Saccharomyces cerevisiae S288C: one gene and its partners. The protein of the gene in region 1 interacts with the protein of each later gene in a pairwise test. Each region holds a gene or a part of one and is shown on either strand. Other genes may lie near its edges.

Evidence for each region.
Region 2: the proteins of UIP3 (region 1) and GEX1 interact in a protein complementation assay, tested with the Saccharomyces cerevisiae proteins (one large-scale study listed by BioGRID).
Region 3: the proteins of UIP3 (region 1) and HXT11 interact in a protein complementation assay, tested with the Saccharomyces cerevisiae proteins (one large-scale study listed by BioGRID).
Region 4: the proteins of UIP3 (region 1) and VRG4 interact in a two-hybrid assay, tested with the Saccharomyces cerevisiae proteins (one large-scale study listed by BioGRID).

Annotation. Positions count from the first base shown.
Region 1 is NC_001133.9:181,825-185,127, reverse strand, and holds UIP3 (DUP240 family protein UIP3), read right to left. Parts: upstream 1,359-3,303; coding exon 651-1,358; downstream 1-650. Other genes in the region: KTD1 (DUP240 family protein), read right to left, coding at 1-236.
Region 2 is NC_001135.5:5,616-10,091, forward strand, and holds GEX1 (glutathione exchanger), read right to left. Parts: upstream 2,712-4,476; coding exon 864-2,711; downstream 1-863. Other genes in the region: VBA3 (basic amino acid transporter), read left to right, coding at 4,091-4,476.
Region 3 is NC_001147.6:23,328-27,793, reverse strand, and holds HXT11 (hexose transporter HXT11), read right to left. Parts: upstream 2,522-4,466; coding exon 818-2,521; downstream 1-817. Other genes in the region: YOL155W-A (uncharacterized protein), read right to left, coding at 576-710; oligo-1,6-glucosidase IMA2, read left to right, coding at 3,500-4,466. UniProt on the Saccharomyces cerevisiae protein: Probable glucose transporter.
Region 4 is NC_001139.9:74,779-78,846, reverse strand, and holds VRG4 (GDP-mannose transporter), read right to left. Parts: upstream 1,954-4,068; coding exon 940-1,953; downstream 1-939. Other genes in the region: SDT1 (nucleotidase), read left to right, coding at 1-832. UniProt on the Saccharomyces cerevisiae protein: Involved in the import of GDP-mannose from the cytoplasm into the Golgi lumen. Defective copy causes severe glycosylation defect and abnormal retention of soluble endoplasmic reticulum proteins. Involved in vanadate sensitivity.

The DNA of each region.
Region 1 (3,303 bases):
ACTAAGATCACAGTGCACCCGTCGTTATCATGAAAAAGCACAATCAATGAGATCAAACTCACGATTATGATGATCATAAACATGATCGGTTTACAATGAGCAATTTCATAAAGTACATAACTCAGATGTGAACTGAATGTGTCTTCGGGAAGAGCTACATTCTCTTCGATTAAATGTGCACTGGGTTCGTCGAGAGTATCCATCTTTACGTCGGTATTTTCTGAAGGTGTTTGCATGGTCAATTGATATCTTGCCTTAATATGGCACTTATAGATGTTATCCTGATCAAAATAGCCAGCTGTTTTATGCTTTTTTAACGTTGTTCACCATTGTATTTATTATTTTTGAGGCATTTTTCACGTATTGTTGCAACGTCCCGAAGGGATTCGATGTGATCGAAAAGCGTCCCGGCTGATCTATTGTGATGACCAGCTATCTCACGTTGGCGAGCATCAAGCCGAGGATCATAAAGCAAAATATATAATAGCATTTGCATCTAAAGTAAACTACATAAAATTTGTTTCGAGCGTACATAACTTTTACACCCAGATGGACTGACACTTAATTGCGGGCTTCGTAATGTTCTTGAAGTTAATGATGCTCGTACATTTTATATTAGAATATACTAGATAAATACCAAAAATTCGGCCCTAAGGCAAATCAACCTCTGGGTATTGCTTTCTCCAATACTCAAATTCAGCTTCTTTGTGAATTTCCGCAGCTTTAATAAGGTAAGCTTCTAAAACTGGATCAGAACTAAAGATATAAGGTTTTACCATCTCATTTGAAACCTCTTTTGCTGGTGTGTTTGACTGCGTATTCTCTGCACCGTTCGTTGGTGAACTCAAATGTGCATTCGACCTTGTCTGTTTGATAAGGCTTTTGAAAAATTTATGGCACCTATGTTCACAAAAAAAGTAATACGGAGTATGCCATATCCCATGGTCAAACAGATACTGGTTCATATTATATGCGATTATTCTCCATTCCTTCCCCCCTACTGCTGGTTTACGTGTAATGACTTCTACTAAAAGCTTAATTATGAAACCCTTATTCAAGGTCTCAGACACGAAGGCAGTTATACCGATCAATAAAATGATAATAGAGAGGATAAGAGAAATCACTAAAAACACAAGGATACCTTTGATATCATGAAAAAACGTAATCAATAAAACCAAACACACAGGTATTAGGAACATAATCATTAGCGGTTTACAACGAGCGATTTCATTAAGTATATAACTCCAGTACGAATTGAATGTATCCTCTGGAAGAGCCACATTTTCCTCGATTAAATGTGCACTGGGTTCGTCGAGAGTATCCAACTTGACGTCGGTATTTTCTGAAGGGGTTTGCATGTTGAATTGATATCTTGTCTTGTGTAAGGTTATTATATGGTTTTGGAGGTTGTTATGCTGATTCGAATTACGACTTGATCATGATACTAATTGAGCTTTGACGAAATATTTTAGCAATTCAGAACCCCTTTCATATTCTTTTTTTTTTTCATTTTTAGAGGCGTTTTTTCACTGATAGGTACAGCCTCCGAAATAATATATAGTGAAGATATAATAATAATAGTGCGAGCCTTTTACAGGGCCATTATGATCATGAGTGAGATCCAGAAAAGCACATTGCATGGCAGTCGGATGTTGAGAATTGGGGGAATTTTGAGATAATTGTTGGGATTCCATTGTTGATAAAGGCTATAATATTAGGTATACAGAATATACTTGAAGGTTCTCCTCGAGGGTCTAGGAATCCCCATAATGGAGTCTATATTTCTATATACCAATCTTACGATTATTCCTCATTCCGTTTTATATGTTTCATTATCCTATTGCATTATCAATCCTTACACTTCAGCTTCCTCTAACTTCGATGACAGCTTTTCATACCTTATGCCATCATCTCTACACCGTATATGATAATATATTGATAATATAACTATTAGTTGATAGACGATAGTGGATTTTTATTCCAACAGAATTGCATTCCAACACATTGCCCCTAGCAATAATAGAAGTCCTACAATTATCAGATTTTTTAGCCAATTCTCAGCAACAAATCTAAATAGCAATTGCTCTTTTTAATTAATGGTTTACAGTTGTGATGCAACGCAATCCTTTTTCTTATAATTGGTTTACATATTTTATCACTGAAAATAATGTTGTATTACGGGCTCGAGTAATACCGGAGTGTCTTGACAATCCTAATATAAACAGTCTTAGGGAAGTAACCAGTTGTCAAAACAGTTTATCAGATTAATTCACGGAATGTTACTTATCTTATATATTATATAAAATATGAATCATACTAAGTGGTGGAAGCGCGGAATCTCGGATCTAAACTAATTGTTCAGGCATTTATACTTTGGGTAGTTCAGCTAGGGAAGGTCGGGTTTTGTCTCATGTTGTTCGTTTTGTTATAAGGTTGTTTCATATGTGTTTTATGAACGTTCAGGGTGACGTATTGTCATACTGACATATCTCATTTTGAGATACAACAAATAACATACAATTTTGGCAACTTGGCCGAGTGGTTAAGGCGAAAGATTAGAAATCTTTTGGGCTTTGCCCGCGCAGGTTCGAGTCCTGCAGTTGTCGTTATTTTTTTTTACTGATGATATTTCACCTCTTCAAAGCATACTCATCTTCAACTCGGATTCAACACGAGAAAGAATTATTTAAATCGGTACAAAGCAATACACTATTCAAAATCCTATCGTTTCCCAATTGTGTTGTGCGCGCGTTATTCTGCGATTCCGTGTAAGTGCATAGAGTAGGTTGTTGCAATAAAAAATGTCTCTAAATAGCAGGCCGACAGACATAACCAAATGATTTCCGTGAACAACCTCAAATTTTCAGGCTTTGAACGTGATTTTCCCAAACCCTGTAACTTGATGTGTAAATTTAAAATGGAATTGGCATGCCAGCTATCATCCCTTAGTGCTTTCAGTCCGAGAGTCTCCATATGTCTGACTTCACGACCTAATTGAACCGGCGCCCATTTCTGGGACATCAGCACTTGCGGTGCTGTTCCAAATAATATCTAAGGTAAGTTTAATGGCCCAGCCCGATCGTGAACGTTAAAGAAAGCATACGTCAAAATATTGGTACCTTATAAGAGTAAAAAAATGCTGTTTCATCTCGTTTGGTAGAGTATATATAAAAAGAGCGGTTTCTGAATTGTTGAAATTTGAACTGTTCAAGATTTACTTAGTAGTATGAACCTGCAGGGATCATCCAGAAACAAAATGCTGTAGCTTCTTCTCTGAATTGTATTTCTTTACAAAGAGCTTTG
Region 2 (4,476 bases), on another chromosome or scaffold:
ATCATTGTGGCAGTTAACTTAAAGGATATACAGTTAATTCAACAAGATTTTCAAGTCCATTTTTTTTGGGCACGCTGAACACGCTCAATGTAGTACTTGTTTTGGAAATCACTCGCAAGTTTAATGGGACGAATTATATCAGTAATGTGTAAATTCCGACACAATGTTCGGTTAGTAGATTTACTGCTGGATTATTGGGTTCACCCGTAGACTGTTGCCGACTCCAAGAAAACTATGATCTCAATACAGGCATAAAGAATTGTTGTATCTGTGCCCATGTGATCTGTACCTTTTTTGCGGTACCAAAATCGCATGTTGCACTCACACTACGGAACACATCAACTTGTAACGACAACAATACAAAATACCAGGAGACATATCACTTTTTTTCGCCTAGAATGATTTACAATGGCATACACTTAGAAAAGTGCTATGACATGACGCCCTTACTAGAAGTTACATGATTCTCCTTTTTTTTCTTTCTTTCTTTCTTTTTCGGTACAACATAATTAATGCATTCATACAGAGCGCATTTCCAGCATCATTTATTGGATAGTAACTCCTCCCGCACTTTCAATATCAATGACGCTGACTCTTTTACTGACGCTGAGTCTTTACCGACGCTGAGTCTTTACCGACGCTGAGTCTTTACCGACGCTGAGTCTTTACCGACGCTTGTGAAAATAAAAAGTACGACACAGCTATATGCGTCGCAAGTTCAGATGTGGGTCTATCGAGCATGTTTATCCTATCCTGTTATGTCATTTTTATCGGAAGTAATAAAAGTGTAGAAATCACTTGTTTTTGCCTTTTTTGTGATTTTGCTTTCATTTTTTTTTGCCCTTTTTTCACCAGCTTGGGGATCAACATCCTAATTTCTTGTTACTTCGATTATGTCTAAAAAGTGCCTTGATTTGAGAGAAAATATTTTCCTCATCTGGCAAGACAACCAAACCATCTTCAGTGAATTCTTCGTGTGTCGCCTTGTCTATTAGTTCCGGGTCTCTCATGAACATTGTAAACGCAAAGAACGGTACCGTACATGCCAAGCCAACCGTCATTATTATTCGTTGAACATATCTGTAAGATTCAACCACAGCATCTCTTTCGGGTGAGCCCCAAGGATAATCACTAATGAATGTATAAGGTGATGCATATGCTATTTCTGCCAATGTATCGTTTCCAAGGTTCTTGTAGAGTTGGTTAGGCATGGTTTGTGTCCATATGGCACCAGAAACGGAGGCACCGATAGCAGCGCCTAGCTTTGAAAAGGTATACTGGATGCCGGTTATTACAGCCATCCTACTATGCGTAGTCATGGCTTGCAGTATGACGATCACTGAATTGCTGCATAGGAGACCACTCAAACCCATGATAACAGATGCAGCGATAACACCTTCATGAGACCCAGATCCTCCTCTGTATTTGTAAAAAAGGCCCATGCACACCATCCATGCAGCACAACCTCCGATTACAGAAAGTTTCAGTTTCCTTGTCTTTGCCACCAACAAACTGTAGAATGGAGATGCAGTAGCAGCAACAAAGTCAGGAAGGTTTACTATCCGAGCAGCCGAAGTGGACGATTCTTTCATCGATACCAGCAAAACAGGATACAGATAGTCACACGAAATGAAAAAGGTGAAAAAATTGAAAAAAGTAACACCAAGGGGTGCCCAAATTCCACGATCACTTAGTAATTTGAACGGTAGAAGAGGAGATTTGGCAAATTTGGCCTCCCAATATAAAAAAATGAAAAATAAACAGCCACCTGAAACTAAAGTGGCAATTATTTTTGAATTGTGCCACTTCTGTGATGTCTCATTAGCCAACGTCAAAGGGACAAGGATACACCCTAGCGACACAGTTATTAATAATATGCCAACAATATCGAGTTTCCAGAATAGAAACACCAAATTCTCAAATAATCCGCCCGTTCTTTCCTTTCTAGCCTGTTCTTTGAGAGATCTCCACTCAGCAGTCTTTGAAGATTTGTACTTCATATAAAGAATAAGAAATATAATTGGCAAGGCAGAGAGTGGGTAAATAAAAGCCCACATTGCAATATTCCAGGACCAGTTTTTCTGAGGATTTGCTGCTGTGATAATATTACCTGAAATCCATGGTATTATGATATATGGCCAATATGAGGCGTACTGGTAAAACATTCTCCACTTCAAGGAGGAGAAATCAGAAAGTATTAATGTCAGGAGCAGATTTGTTCCGACGTATCCACAGTTATAGAAAACCGATCCTGCTGCATACATTGTGAGACGGGTCGCCTGTGATTGAATGATGGTTCCCATTATATAAAAAATAGTTGCAACTAAAAAAAGCCTTAGTCTTCCGAAGTGGTCAGAGAGTCTGGAGTAGACAACTTGGGATCCGACACTTACAACAGCATTGATAACTTGGACAGTTGAAAGTAAGGAGTGTTCTGAATATGAGTTCGTCGCATAGCCCGTATAGGTCGATCTAAGTGTGTAGTCTAAACTAATTCCAAACCCACATACAAACGCGGTACTTATCAGTAGAATTTTATATTTCAAGGAATCAAACTGTGCAGACATAATTTCGTTTTCTTTGAGCTTAAAAAAGGTCGATGTCATAGAGTACGTGTCATCGTTTGAGTGACGTTCTCGCTCAATAATCTCACAGGACTGCCTAATTCCACTTTTTTTATTACTTGAGGCACCAACAACACTAGAACTCATCCGATAATTTATTTACTTGATTATTCCTTTTTTTTTTTTTTCTCTTTCCAGTCCATAAAACTATTTTACTTTTCTTATTTATGTAAATAGTATTTAAGATTCTACGGTCGCTACATCTGCTAGAAATGGAATTACTTTAATACATTCCATGTTCTCATATATACTTTTACTGACACCTTTCGTCACTATTTTTTGTTTAACTTTTTTTTTGGAAGTACTAAAATTATATGCTCGTAATTATTGAGTATCAAAAAAAAAAAAAAAAAAAATTGCTGTGACACCCCTTCAATGTGGTGTCTATACACCTGGTGACTTTAACTTTAACTTTGACCTGTCGTCGTACAATCAACTTAGTTTCCGAAAATCCACGACGAACCAGTTATACCGAAGACTTTTGTACGACAAGAATACTGTACCGTCGAAACTATCTCTTTTCAAACTGATGAGTGAAGCTTGTGTTTATGTCTGTTGAAACAAGGAAAAAAATGCGGTGCCTGTCGACAGGATATGCGCACAAGTGCAAAATCATCAAAAAATTGAGTACCTAGATCCGGTGGTGTAGGACGAGCAAAGTTCCTTCATAAACAAACCGTAAGGGTTACTGATACACAATTTCCTTTTTGTAAAGAGTATTTGAGCAAATTAGTCAGCGATTGAAAACAACACCCTTTTTTCTATATATAGTAGGTGAAAGTTAACATGCGAGTAAAAGTAGTGCCACATTTCCTTTGCAGCAGGTGCAAATTGGTACATATTTAACAGATAGCGCCGCACCTCATATGCAGCGCGTACATGATACGAGACGACAAGATATGCAAAAGATAATAGTGTCATCACACCTTTATGAGAAGCGAATTTTTTTTTTTTTTTGGTTTAAATATATATATATACATATATATAGATATAGATATACACATGTATAGATGTATTCTAGTTATGCTTATACCTAGAACTGATCAGACCAGATCATACCTGGTATAGAGCTTAATCGATAGAAATTCAAAAATATGGAGGAAACTAAGTACTCTTCGCAGCAGGAGATAGAAGAAGCATGTGGTTCAGACGCTTCATTGAATGCTAGAGGTAGCAATGATTCTCCAATGGGACTTTCCTTGTACCTCTGCCTGGCTTCGTGAACTCTTGTACTATTCATAACTGCACTGGATATTTTGATAGTGGGAACTATTATTGACGTGGTCGCAGAACAGTTCGGAAACTACTCCAAAACAGGTTGGCTCGTTACAGGCTACAGTTTACCAAATGCTATTCTGAGTCTCATTTGGGGAAGATTCGCATCTATCATAGGTTTCCAGCATAGTCTCATTTTAGCAATACTTATTTTTGAAGCCGGATCCCTAATTGCTGCCCTTGCCTCTTCAATGAATATGCTCATTGTCGGTAGAGTTGTTGCTAGTGTTGGGGGAAGCGGACTTCAAACGCTTTGCTTTGTTATTGGTTGTACGATGGTTGGTGAAAGGTCACGTCCATTGGTGATTTCCATCCTAAGTTGTGCATTTGCTGTAGCTGCTATCGTTGGTCCTATAATCGGAGGTGCCTTTACAACCCATGTTACCTGGAGGTGGTGCTTCTATATCAATCTTCCTATCGGTGGTCTTGCCATTATTATGTTTTTACTCACATATAAGGCCGAGAATAAGGGTATACTTCAACAAATTAAAGATGCTATAGGAACAATCTCGAGCTTTACTTTTAGTAAGTTCAGACACCAAGTTAATTTTAAAAGACTTATGAATGGCATAATCTT
Region 3 (4,466 bases), on another chromosome or scaffold:
GAATTTTTCAGCAAGATAAATTAATGTCTCGCCCGGGCCATAGACAAAAGAAGAAAATCTATAAACATTCCGTGGATCGCCATGTGATATTTCTATTTAATATAGGCACATGGCTATGGCGAAACCTTAATGTGATACTTATGGTACATATATGTAACATGCTATAGTTACAGTAAGGATTGGCAACTTAATTCGTTTCCTTCGATTTTATACTCTTCGAACGTATTTGCAGTCATTGGCAGTAGAACATCATTTAGCACATCCAACGACTACCGTCGTTGTGCACGTGACACTCACCCCAATTGGACACTGACTTGAACTAAAATAACAGCGTGTCATATAGATAAGGAAGATAAATATATTGGAACTGGTAGTATCACATTTCCATCATGAAAAACCCAGTGTAGCCATATCGAAAATATCAGAAACGAGTGGTAACACGGAACCTATATATATTACATAGGCTGCAATGAGTATATTGATTCATGATATCGTAGCTGCTTGAACTATTTTTCAAGGCTTCAAAAAATATCATGGTATTATTAGCATGCAACTTGTGAAAAAATAAATATGCATTACAGTACAAGGATCTGAGTGTTAGATTTATAGTCGGGCCTAGTTGCACTCTTAATAATACGGTATACATAATAATGGATTGCCATCCGACAACTATAGCCAGTCACGCATTTATTGAAGCTTCCATAAAACATTCATTAGAAATTAAAGGGTACAAAAGTAAAAACATTATGTATAATAGAGAATTAGTTTCGTCAATTTTTTTTTTTGCTTTTTTACCAATTTACCGAAAACTAGAAGATCAGCTGGAAAAGAACCTCTTGTAAATTGGTCTATTGTCATGATCTATTGCATCAGCATCGTAATCTGCGGTTCTTCTCTCCGGTGGCACCCATGAGGCCGATTTCCATGCTGGCACACCTTCCAGCCACATAGTATTCACCTCCTCCAGTGTCAGGCCTTTTGTTTCTGGGACAAAGAAAAAGACATAAAAGTATGCAAAAACCAGACAGCCTAAGAATACGTAACCGTAGTAAAAGTTGATTGCCCCGGTAATGAATGGGGTAAAGAAACTAATCAGGAAACCCCACATCCAGTTTGCAGCTGTTGCGATTGCCATTCCTCTTGATTTGACCCTAAGAGGAAACGTCTCTGAGACAATAACGTAACAGCCGCCTGCCCAAGTGGTGGCGAACGAAAAAATGAAGAACATAGTAAACACAATCATACAGTTACCGGCGCCCTGAGAAGTAATGTCTTGGTGACTGCTTCCTTGAGGCCACAACTTTGTCACACCGACGGAGGCAAACACAGCAAAGCAGCATAGCATAGAAGCAGCACCCCACAATAGACACGTACGGCGTCCAAACCTCTCAATGGTGTATACCGCTATGAATGAAGAGAAAAAATTAACCACACCGATAATGATCGAAGTCTGAAAGGAGTCCTTTAGACCGACAGATTTGAAGATGGTGGTACCGTAGTAAAAGAAGTAGTTGTCACCGGTTAATTGCTGCAGCGATTGGATCATCACTCCCATGAGAACACGCTGAAAGACCTTTGTTTTAGTGGAGAGTAGTTCAGACCATGATGCGTTACCTGCCAGCTTTTCAAGTTCAATTCCTGCCTTTATAGTGTCATATTCAACTAGCAAGGCTGGATCGTCAACTGAGACTTTGTTGGATTTCGATAGTGAACGTTTCGCTTCCTCATCTTTACCAACCTCAATCAGGTAACGTGGTGATTCTGGTACAAACATCATTCCACTAACCATGAATGTAGCCCAGGCAAAGCAAAGACCAAGGCCGACTCTCCATTGAGTGGCGTTGTGATAGTTCTTGGTACCGTAATTGGTACAGTATCCTAGAAAAATACCCATCGTACCCATCAGCTGGTACAATTGGACCAGAGTTCCTCTGATATGTTTGGGAGCAACTTCAGATATCAACATTGGGGAAAGGACAGCAATGCCTCCCACTCCTAGGCCAGAAATAATTCTTCCAATGAAGTATTGGTACCACTTGTTTATGGAAGTTATTTGGATTAGGATGCCTACAACGTAAATGGCAGTAACTGTAATCAATCCAATACGACGACCATATATATCACCGACTTTTGACAAGACAATTCCGCCTATGGCGCAGCCAATGTTGAATATTGAGACGATCAAACCCATTCTTACTTTCGATAAGTAGTAGGTTCCCTTGTCATTTTTTTGACCGAACCTTCTGATGAAATCAGAAAGGTTAACAAAACCAGAAATGGTACCGGTATCCCAACCAAAGATGAAGCCGCCAAATGCAATCATCAAACACAGGATTGCGACGGTGGTATACGCAGAGAGGGGTTTTTGAGGTAAGTCAATAGGTGGCTCATTGGCATCTAGGTTAAGGGAATTTTTAGAGTCACCGTGTTCAGTCTTAACAGAGGGAGCGCCTACTGCTGAGTTAGAGTTAGACATGGTAGTAGATAACTCATTTGCGGATGTATTATTAACACCTGACATGATATTGAGTAATAACAAAAGCGTTTAGAACTAAATTGTGCAATGATTATTTTTTTCAACTCATACCAAAAAAAGAAGAAGAAAAAGATAGGAACAAGTGTGCTCTTCTCTAGTTACACAACTGTGACATTATATACCTTTAATTAGCGAAAAAGAGGAACTGAGAAAGATGAGCCTAGACCTTAAGAGCTAAGTAGTATACGGTGTGTCGAACTGCTACTGATACTTTGAACGAAGGTGTCCGAGTGTATGCATTGTTCGTGTGGTCAGCATTTATTGTGGAGGAGGCGGTTTCATCTACAATTTCCGACGCCTGATTTTCCACGGATATAATTTATTTTTTGACACCTGGAGTTTACATTTCACAAAATTTCTTTCTTTTTTAGTTTTGCACTGATTTCCCCTGAAATAAAGAAAAAAAAGAAAAAGAAGGTTTTGTGAAGTGCCAAGGGATGCACGAGAAAAGCACTTATAACTCGCACGGAGAAATGATTATGTAATTTTCGCGGAGAAATGATTATGTAATTCCGCGGAGAAATGGTTATGTAATTTTTGTGGGGAACTGAACAAGGTCAGTTTACGCTTCGTACTTTGTCGTGGGACTACGTATACGCAAGATTGCGGAGGCAGTGCAATAATGGGGTCTGCTTGCAGATGGTATGATCTGCTATAACGGGCCAAGGGCCAGGCACGCTCTTGCAGAACATACCATGTTATATCATGTAGGTTGTGCAAACATTACCTAAAACTGAAAGCTTCGTTTACATACAGCACTCCTTCCAGATCCTAAATTTACTTTGTTCTTTTCTTATTTTCGATCATTCGTAAGACGTCCATAGGCACGTAAAAGACATATATAAGTAAGAAAGACTTCTTCACTCGAGGAATTAGCTGTACTAGAATATATGTTCCATTCACCAGTCCAAACACACAAACAAAAGTGAAAGTTTTTTCATAAAGAAAAGAAAGCAACGTACAATGACTATTTCTTCTGCACATCCAGAAACAGAACCCAAGTGGTGGAAAGAGGCCACAATCTATCAAATTTATCCCGCAAGTTTCAAAGACTCCAACAACGATGGGTGGGGTGATATGAAGGGTATTGCCTCCAAGTTGGAGTATATCAAAGAGCTTGGTGCCGATGCCATTTGGATCTCACCATTCTACGACTCGCCACAAGATGATATGGGTTACGATATTGCCAACTACGAAAAGGTCTGGCCAACCTACGGTACGAACGAGGACTGCTTTGCCTTGATCGAAAAGACACATAAGCTTGGTATGAAATTTATCACCGACTTAGTCATCAACCATTGCTCGAGCGAACATGAATGGTTCAAAGAGAGCAGATCCTCAAAAACCAATCCAAAACGTGACTGGTTCTTCTGGAGACCTCCTAAGGGTTATGACGCCGAAGGCAAGCCAATTCCTCCAAACAATTGGAGGTCTTACTTCGGTGGTTCTGCATGGACGTTCGATGAAAAGACACAAGAGTTTTACTTGCGTTTGTTTTGCTCCACCCAACCTGATTTGAATTGGGAGAATGAGGACTGTAGAAAGGCAATCTACGAAAGTGCCGTTGGATACTGGTTAGACCATGGTGTAGACGGCTTTAGAATTGATGTGGGAAGCTTGTACTCCAAGGTTGCTGGTCTACCAGACGCTCCTGTGATTGACGAAAACTCAAAGTGGCAACCCAGTGATCCTTTCACAATGAACGGACCACGTATCCATGAGTTTCATCAAGAAATGAACAAGTTCATCAGAAACAGAGTGAAGGATGGCAGAGAAATTATGACAGTTGGTGAAATGCAACATGCTACTGATGAAACCAAGAGGTTGTATACAAGTGCATCAAGACACGAACTTAGTGAGTTATTCAACTTTTCCCACACTGATGTCGGGACTTCGCCCAAGTTCCGTCAAAATTTGATCCCATATGAAC
Region 4 (4,068 bases), on another chromosome or scaffold:
ATATACTGCATCCGATTTGGCAACCTATCAGAATGAGGTGAACGAACAAATTGCCAAGAATAAAGCACATCTTGAATCATTGACTCATCCAGGTTCGAAAGTGACATTTCCGATCGATCAAGATATTTCTGCTACACCTCAAAACCCGAACTTAAAAGTTTTCTTTTTTGATATCGACAACTGTCTCTATAAATCATCCACGAGAATTCACGATCTTATGCAACAATCTATACTGAGGTTCTTTCAAACACACTTGAAACTATCACCTGAAGATGCTCACGTTTTGAATAACTCTTACTACAAAGAGTATGGACTTGCCATAAGGGGACTTGTAATGTTCCACAAAGTGAACGCACTGGAATATAACCGGCTTGTGGATGATTCCTTACCACTACAAGATATCTTGAAACCTGATATACCATTAAGGAATATGCTGTTGAGATTGAGACAATCGGGAAAGATTGATAAATTGTGGCTTTTCACCAACGCTTATAAAAACCACGCAATACGTTGCCTGAGATTGTTGGGTATAGCGGATTTATTTGATGGATTGACATATTGTGACTACTCTAGGACAGATACGCTGGTCTGCAAACCACATGTTAAAGCATTTGAAAAAGCCATGAAGGAAAGCGGGTTGGCAAGATACGAGAATGCTTATTTTATAGATGACAGTGGGAAAAACATCGAGACAGGTATCAAATTGGGCATGAAAACATGTATTCATTTAGTTGAGAATGAAGTAAATGAAATTTTGGGGCAAACACCAGAAGGCGCTATTGTCATTAGTGATATATTGGAGTTACCACACGTTGTGTCCGACCTGTTCTAAGGTATATCAATTTTAAGTATAATTGTATATAAATCTACTTGCATTAGATGCCTCTATAAAATAAAATAAACCAAAAAAAAAAAATAAATTGCACCCCCCGTAAGTTCTCATTTACGTAAAGGTTGGGCTTGTTGCTTCTTTTGTTTGGCAACAGCATAAATAATACCTGATAGGAAACCAATAAAAATGGAGAGAATAGATAAGAAGTTTCTTGGAGCATCAAAGAAAATCAAACCAGACAAGGCAATTGGCAGCTTGTTCAAAGCCCCTACCATCGAATATGTAGTAGACGAAGTAACACGAACACACCAACCGGAACAGTAAGAAATACCGACGGATGCAACACCACTGATGATCATAGCAGTTAGCGAATCGTTAGAAAAGTTATTGGTCAAATTAACTGAAGACCAATCTTCCACACAGAAAGAAAACAGCAATAGAATAGGTAGAGCCAAAACATTGTTGTAAAACATAGTGTCGAAATCCTTGAAGTTAGTTAACTTAATTCTCTTTCTCATTATAAGAACGAATAATGCAGAAGTGATACAGTTGGTGAACATCCAGAAATAACCTGGGTTAAAGGAGGCAACAGCACCGGCTGCTCCTTCAGCCAATGAAGCAGCCTTGGCAGCCACAGCTTGCTGGTCACCCCAAGTTGCAACGACAGAAGAAAGGACCATCAACAAAAATGATGACAATTCCATGGAGGTGACAGAGCCACCAAAAAAGAGAACCTCACCATAAGCAATCAAGATAATAGTCAAATTCTTGAAAATGGTGTAAATTGGAACAGCCAAGTATTGTAAAGCCTTCGAAGAGGTGTAGATCATCAAGACCAGTAAAAAGGAAATAGGGAACCAGTTCTTGGCGTCTGTTTTGTTTAATGAACGGAACTTCGCATAGCCCAGTATACGTAGGATAATCAAGGTTATAGTACAAACCAAAGATTGCACGAAAAGCATGACAAAGTTCATGTTGAAATCCTTCAAATTGACGACGAACTTGTTAGTCACCGTCATTAAAATAGAGGAACCACAGTAGGATAAAATAGAGATCGGACCGGAATTGGCAACTGAAGCCCAAGGGTTATGGCCTGCATGACCTGTTTTCAATTCAGACATTCGGGCGAAAGATACTGTGTGGTTAGTGTGTTTGTTTTCTTAGGCTCTTTTGGTAATTAAGAGGATGTCAACAATTAATCGGCAACAAGAAATAGGCTTGGCAGCGTTATATATATTCTGTTTTTCTGTTCATTGTTTGTTCGGATCGCGAAATTTCAATTTTTTTCTTTCTTTTTTTTTTTTTCGGCCAAAACTATTATCCAAGGCTGGGTAAGAGGATTCTGAAAAACCCGTTTAGCTTTTCGTATATTGCGATTCATTACGCGTTTAGGCGACGTGTCTTCTTTCGTCAACTGTGATATTTTTCGTGTTATGGGCGGCTAATTCTTTATAAAAAGGGAAATTTAATCATTATGGCAAACTCAAATGGTGTTCCTACATCTATATACCACCATGCCACTTTGTACCACCAGTCATATATTTTCTTCTACTCATAAGGGAGCCGCATATATATATGGCGCACATTGCCATGGTCCATTACAAGCTTTTTTCTCGTAGCACTTTAGAATGTCTATTGAGTTGCAATATTCAGGCAAAAATGCGTTCTATCTTCAGAATGTAGCTGTTGAAATTGTTGTTTGACTTTTTTTGGACTAGTAGCCGTCTTATCGAACCAAATAGAAGCATATGTTACCTCATTATTCTCTCAATATGGTATTGGAGCGGGTGTGGGTGTGTTCCTTTTGTTCTTAAACGATAGGTACGCATTAAACACCGCTTATGCAGATGGTACATCATATACTGCTTATACCCTTTCCTACTTCAGATGAATATGCAAAACATGTACCGCAATGATGCGAGAGTAACTTTAACAAGAGCTCTTTCGCGTGTGTAGCGATAATATTCAGGGGCGACAAGTGTAGTAATGAAGATATAGTTCTCACCGGTACCTAGATGTCACTACTCGGACACCAGATTACTGTAGCAAGCAAGGTCAATGTCGAGACTAAGCATGATCATAAGTATTGGCGCCCGACATTGCATTTTTTTCCTTGAGATCATATCACAGTGCATGCCATCACAAATAGTTACTTTGATTATTTCAGTGCCATCGCATGACTTCAGTTTTATTACACCTTTAATGATGTAAAAGCGCCGTCAAGATACTAATATAGACGCACGAGTTTCGTTCGCGCGTCTTGGTGAGATTGAAAAGTTATTTTGCCTTTCTTGTCGAGATGATGGTATTTCCCTTTTTTATTTAACATTCATTAATTCCTACCTGTAGTTATCAACCTTTACAGCAACGCAAGTGAAGTGGCTTACTATATAAGCGTAACTCCAATGTGCTTGGTTAGTTTTGGAAAATTTCAAGGCGTTGTTGCAGAATTGTACCTTTAAACATGTCTACAACAACTATGTGGATGTAGCATCTCTATCATGACGCAAACGCAAACATCTCTCTCTCTCTCTCTCTCTAAGTCGCATGTTAAGGCCGATAGTACTGGTTTAACAGGGTTTGCCAAGGCCTCAATCGTTAAGTTAGCTTCTCCACTTTCCCCAGCATCAATCTTATGGTATGATCAACAATCTACGAGGAATTGCAGAAATGATACCTGTATCACAAAGGAATTTGCGTATCATAGCGTCAACTGGAACCATGGATGGAGCTGAGAATTTATTCCTCATAAACGAATTCAAGTTTCTTTCGCTCTGCCAACACAAAAATTTCAATTTCTGTCCTACTTATGTCCTATGAGAGCCATAATTTACACCTCACGTACATAGTTGCGGTAATATGATAAGTACACTTTTTCTGTGCTTCATTATCGTAGCGATAGGTATACCACTCATCGTAAGTGTGGACGTAGCGATGGAGGTTTCTGTGCCATTACCACCACAACCATTCTACTCTTGTAGTGATGCCGCCAACGTGGAATTATGTGGTATCGTTGTTATCTGCCGTTGACTACCCTCGGTCCAACCAACGTAAAGGCCAATCTCACTTTCTAAGAAGGTCTTATCAGGGTTGATACGGACAAACTCTTCATAGCCTACGTCGAAATCAAATTCTGCTGAAGCTGTGATTGTAATCAAACCTAAAATGGTAATTACTGCTCGAAAAAAAAGTAGAGAAATTCATGGTTGACGCTCAAGTTCAGGGATCTGAGAAAA